Drosophila melanogaster: one gene and its partner. The protein of the gene in region 1 interacts with the protein of each later gene in a pairwise test. Each region holds a gene or a part of one and is shown on either strand. Other genes may lie near its edges. The genes, in order: Paip2 and CG32188.

Region 1 (4,147 bases):
GTTGATCTGGTCATCTGTGGTTTACTGGCGGTAAGGAATAGCATCATTCAGATACTAATAGATATATATAGATCCTGCTACTTGACAGGGCTGTGGAAATCCGGCAATGTATAAACTGTTCGTGACCTGGGCTCATCCCACAGAGAGAACAGCGCTCCTGTCCTTCGCCTACAGTGGTCTTCTGATGGGCTCCATGTTGGTTTACCCGGTGGCCAGTTATCTGAGCAACTTCGGCTGGGAACTGTCCTTCTATGTAGTCGGTGGAGTTGGCCTCTCATTCGGCATTGCCTGCTGCTTTCTCGTTTACGACACCGTGGAGCAACATCCAAGGATATCGAATGAGGAGGTGGATTACCTGAGGCAGGGCAAGAGTCAATTGGGACAGCAGCGGCAGCCAGTGAGTAGTTCCTTGTACTTTTAACTTTAAAATTATAAATTAATTAGCTTCTTTTTAGGTGGTAACCATTCCCTGGAAGAGCCTGCTCGCCGCGCCGCCCGTCTACGCCTTCATCCTGACCCACATGTTCCACACCTACACCTTCCTGGTGATTGTGCAACTGATGCCGCGATTTATGCGCGAGGCCATGGAGTTCGATCTCCGCGAGGTGGGCTTCCTCTCGGCGGCGCCGTATCTGGGCGGGATCTGCTCGAAGGTGATGTGCATCCTGGGTGGCAGCTATGTGGAACGACGCGTGGGTCCTGACCAGAATTGTGTGCGAAGAATGCTGTACGGGATCTGTAAGGCATACCGATAATCGGAGTGCCACAGACATCTATAAAGAACACCTTCCCTTAGTGGATTCCTATATAGATTTCCGTAGCATCTCCAGAAACATCACCAATCTCTCTTTTATATCCCATTTTATAATACCAGGCAGCATCCTGACCACTTCTTTGATTGGGGTCATCATCCTGGCTAATTGTGATGACAAAATACTAGTACTTGTGATGTTTGCCTTCATGATGGCCACTACGGATATGGGTTTCAGTGGCTACTGGCCCACGCTGCTCTACTTTGCGCCCTCCTTCGCGGGATTGCTATCGGGATTGGCCAATGGAATGGCCCATCTTTCCGGATTCTTAGCTCCCCATCTTGTGGCCGCTCTGGTCCACACTGTAAGTTTAAATACAAGTAGTTTATGATTAAACTGATTTATTTATGTACCTCGCAGGGCAGCAAGGATGAGTGGAATGTGGTGTTGATGACGCTGATTGTCTTTAATACGATGGCCATGTTGGTATTTGCATTTTGCAGCAGTACGAACCTACAACCTTGGGATCCTCGTAGCAGAATGGAGAAAACTGCATCACCAAGTGCTCAGGAATCAAATAGTTAGCACTTATTTGTTTAAATGTTTTAACTTTTTTGTACTTTCGAAGCATTTTATTTGTTTACTATAAATGTAGAGTTAATTGTGTTAAAATAAAAACAAAATAAATGTAAATATACAATATACATATCAATTTAGTTTAAAATGATAATTGAACTTTCTTCAACGCAATCTTCAAATAAAATTTTTAAAAACCGCGCCTAGCACATAGTATCTTTCAATCTTATCGATAGTTTTACCGTTGTATAAAGCAAGCTGACAAATGTTTCACAACGACCAGTTTTCTACATTTCAAGTACAAAATTACACAAATATTCAATAATTCAAAAATATGTGTGAAAGCAGACATCTATTGGCAGTCAATGTACTAAATGCTCATATTCTTTACACGCCAATCGATAGCTGTTTGATTTGACGCATAGATTTGGTTTGAGTCCCGGCTGAGAACTGTAAGACGAAGAAATAGCTCATTTACCTACTTTAATGGTGCTAAATCGCATATATCACAATGCTTTAGGAAAAGTATTAATATTTCTAGAAAGCGTATGCTATAACTCTTTGTGCTATACTATATATAGGTGGAAAGACATCGATAGTCGCAGGGGAGTATCGATGCATCGATAGTGCCATCGATGTTTCTCCACCTTGCTTTATTAATCATTTCAATTTTTTTTCAATTCGGTTGCTTGACGTTCACTGACGTGATTCCGCACACAGCACATAGTCGAATACGTTTCGCAATAGAAATATCAAAATTCTCCGTGTGGACTCAATCTGGATTGGATGCAACACTAAATTACCAGTGTTTTCCTCGATTTTCTAGCGACGCAAAATTCTCAGTACAACCCAAAAAAAAAACGGAGAGTCTCTTCAACAACAAAATCAAGCATCATCGATAAAAACAACAAGTCTCCCGGAGGAAGTGGCTCCAAAATATCCAGTGCAACAGCGGACGAACTTCTCGGCAGGATTGAGAGTGAGTAGATCGGATTAAACAAATTAAATAATCCCAAACATTGTACATATGTATATACATTTATTTGTGCGCGGGGAAAGGCGGAAGTCAGAGAACTTGGCTTCCTGGTTTTTCATTTACCTTTTGGCGCTTCCGCCAAAACACTTAAACGTTCACTTAAAACCGCTTCTGGACAAATCAATAAAGGCCAAGTGTCGGATCGGACATTACCTTGGTGTTCCCTACTTACACTTGAAAAAATTTCGTTTAACATGGTAATAAAATTAATCAAGGCTATTTATTGCACATCACAAAGAAAGTTTATGACTTTATCAGTTAATTAACTACAATACAAGGGTATAAAAGTCAATTGCTTTTCAAAATGTCTCAATATAATAAAATTTAAAATCATTTCATATGCCTAACATATACATATACATATATCATCTTTCAAACCTACTAGTAGAAATTCGAATTTATAATTACCAAGTAAAGTGATTTATTGCCTTGAGTGTACTTCAAATAAAACATTAAATGCTAGAAGTCTACTTTTTTTCTTCCTGTGTACGTGTGCGTGGGCCAAGCTAGACTCCAAGTACACGAACCCCAAGAATATTAATGTTTAAACTTTAAACACTTGTTACCTTGAATGAAACAGTGCGCTGTATGTATTATCATTGCCGCTGCTGTTGTTGCTCTTTTTTTTGGGTTGAGGGAGGTTCATTCAATCGGGCACACCAACACCACTGCACTTGAGAGCCCATTTGTGTGTGTGTTTGTTGTTGCCTCCTTTGTGTTTTCTGCATATTCACTTTACATACTAAATGTATGCACGAATTTCGTCAAGTCCGCCGTGCAAATACATTTTAATTTTCGCAATTTCATTTAAAATATGGACGCTTAACTTAACATCTACTTGCAATTCGATGTGCTTCACTCGTGTGCGTGTGTGTGGCAGCACGTACACCAGTAAAGGGCCAGAGTTGCCATCCTAACTTCTTTTTTCCAAGCACTTTGTCTTGCTGATAAAAGCAGCTGATTTTTATAAATAAATAAGTAAAAGTTGGAAGACGCAAAAAATTCAATTTATTGATAGTGCGATTTGACCTACCAAAGGCAATAAAAATCTAGAATGGAGAGTAATCATTATCTTGTGTGGAATAAACATTCACGCAAAACTTGCCTATGTATGGAGAACTGTAAACAAATATTCGCACAGCCGCGGGTAACGAACTAGGCCCTCAATAAAAATAAATAACAAAATATATTATTTTCGATACAAACAATTCATAAAAAATGTCAAACATTTGCTCTTAAACTGACGTGCAATTATTAGTGCGCAAATATTGTAAGCAGAGTAAAAAAGAATGAAATTACGTGATTAAAATATTAATGTCCTAAAACTGTATTATAAAAATATGTACACAATCGAACGTTACAGGCACGTTCAACATGATAGCTAAGCCCACAAACTCCTCCGATGACAATCATCGCCTTTGGCTTATTGCGTTTTGCATAAATACCGCTCTTGACTTTCGTGTTATTTCACACGTTTGCTTGTTTGTTTTTAGCTGATAGCGGCATTTATATACGCCATAAAATGTTTAGCGGGGCTAGAAGTGATACGAGTTGTGAGCCTATACATTTCTAATCGGATGTAGTACTGAATTATAGACTACATTATATGTATATAGCATACAAGTATGTCCACTTATTTGGGGCTCTTTTCGCTTTTGCACCAAAAGCTGAGTCACTTTGTTTTCAAATTTTTGTGTGCCGCGGCCACAACGCAAAAAATAGACATCACTAAACAAAAAAACGTTGCGCAAAAAGAAAAGAGAAAATGTTCACTTATTTATAT
Region 2 (2,380 bases), on another chromosome or scaffold:
ACGAACCCTATCGTCATGCGCTTTCTACTAGCTCTCTCCCTGGCCGTCCTGGTCGTTCTGATCCTCCACAGCAGCCAGGTGTCCTCCACATCAACCACCACCTCCACAAGTGCTTCGGCCACAACCACCACGGCTGCTACGACAACAACTGATTCGTCCACCACCACCACCACCGAATCCTCCACGACCACCACTGCCTCCACAAAGAAGAAGCACCGACGCCGCCGTGTCATCATCAGGCGCGTGATCATCCGCCGTGGCAGGGAAGGACGAAGTGAGAGCGGAGACAATCGCCGACGGGTCGTCGTACGCGTTCGCAGGACGGCCAACTGAAACACCAGATTAATGGTTATTTTCTTTAAAGCCCGTTGCTGTCAATCAAAATAAATCATTGAAAAATTATTTTCTATCGAGATGATGACGTGTTTTTTTTAAATTAATAAATTTATTTATTAAGGCATACGGGGAAATCTTGGAGCCCCTTTGTGTCCTTCTTTTCTATTAATTCTGCCCATTTGGGCGCGCCGGCTAACAGAGCTAATTTTATAATAATATTTATAATATATTAAGGGAGGAGCACAGAAGCGCCACATTTAGATATTTCACAAATTATTCCTTGCAAATATGATCCTTACGGTAATCCTATATGATGATTCTTTGAAATGGTAAGTCCTTAGATTGATTTTGATGTCCTTGCTAAATTGCTGTGACGATGTGATGAAAAATTATTGTATATTTCTATACAAAAATACAAGTTGTAAAACATTATTATTCTGCTAAATATTTCCTACAAAGGTCTTTTCTGTTGGAGTGTATATGCAAATCTTTTAGTTTAATGACCATGAAGTCTGCAAATGAAACTATATAGGAGTTGTCATTATACAATTTTTCGGTGCATTTCGACACTGAATGATTCTGTAATAGGGTAACCTTTAAGGTCTTTAAGGGTAATCTTTAAGGTCAAAGCTGAAAATGCAAGTAATTTAAACTTTTCGATAGCTTAATCCCGAAAGAAATGTGTTTCGAAATCTGAATGGTGTACTCTACGTACTTCAAACCGGCTGGCATATCTTAAGAAAGAAAAGGCTTGAAAGGGTCTTTGAGTAAAGAACTTTAAAAAAGTGTAATACCTGTCATTTTAAATAAATACTAAGCAAGTTTAGCAAGCCCTTCTGTCTGTCCTTAAGAAAGAGCTAGTCATTAGGAAGTTAAGAATAAGCATGCAGATTCTAATGACGCCAACGCTGTGATAGTTTGTTTCAAAACGTAGCCACTCCAACGCTAAAGCGCACAAACTTTAAAGTTCTATCTTCAAGTACCTCAAAGTAATGCATGAAAACAAAATTACTATTAACGTCCAAACAGGTGGTAATAACCCTAGCAAAGCACGATAAATAATAGACGGTATTGTAAATGGAACAATGGCCAAAAATATTCACAAGGGGCACATCTGTGTTTGCATAAAAACGTAATACTTTCAGTCCCTGGCCCAAAGGTTCTATAAATATCCATTTTTTCGGTCCATTGATATTAGTTCCTGATCTTCTACGAACCCTATCGTCATGCGCTTTCTACTAGCTCTCTCCCTGGCCGTCCTGGTCGTTCTGATCCTCCACAGCAGCCAGGTGTCCTCCACATCAACCACCACCTCCACAAGTGCTTCGGCCACAACCACCACGGCTGCTACGACAACAACTGATTCGTCCACCACCACCACGACCGAATCCTCCACGACCACCACTGCCTCCACAAAGAAGAAGCACCGACGCCGCCGTGTCATCATCAGGCGCGTGATCATCCGCCGTGGCAGGGAAGGACGAAGTGAGAGCGGAGACAATCGCCGACGGGTTGTTGTACGAGTTCGCAGGACGGCCAACTAAACTTCGAAGCCGTGTAAATAATTATCGGCTTTGATGTTGTTACCAGCCCTTATAAAATAAAAACCAATATGCATTTCCAAAATTCTTCTAATGAATGTACATGGTGGGAACAGTAACCTTAAATGCAAATAAACCAACCTGGATTTAAGAAATATGGCGCCTCCCTTTAATAGGAGTGCTTAATCATGTACTTTTAAGCACATATCCCCCATCACCGATTTGGCTGTACAAAAGGACTTGAAAAAACCGTGTCGCTCGTTTGGCATGAAGGACTTGTATACAAATCTAGACGGACCGCACACTTTCTGTGCCTGTGGACAGCTGCAGCCCTGCCACCAAAGACCCCAAACATGCCGGCGTAACTCAAGGATGCGTCCTGAGGCCATTACCTTACTCTATTTTCACCTCGGACCCACCCAAGTTTAATAGGCGGCTACTTGCGCGTCGGCGCCATGCGCTAAATGCAATGCATATACGAATTTGCAGACCAATTACAAGAA

What was found.
Region 2: the proteins of Paip2 (region 1) and CG32188 interact in a two-hybrid assay, tested with the Drosophila melanogaster proteins (one large-scale study listed by BioGRID).

The regions. Positions count from the first base shown.
Region 1 is NT_033777.3:12,979,081-12,983,227, forward strand, and holds the start of Paip2 (polyA-binding protein interacting protein 2), read left to right. Parts: upstream 1-1,965; 5' UTR 1,966-2,307; intron 2,308-4,147. Other genes in the region: CG7091 (uncharacterized protein), read left to right, coding at 1-30, 89-397, 456-738, 875-1,116, 1,173-1,337.
Region 2 is NT_037436.4:17,832,777-17,835,156, reverse strand, and holds CG32188 (uncharacterized protein), read left to right. Parts: upstream 1-1,531; 5' UTR 1,532-1,562; coding exon 1,563-1,880; downstream 1,881-2,380. Other genes in the region: CG32189 (uncharacterized protein), read left to right, coding at 16-333.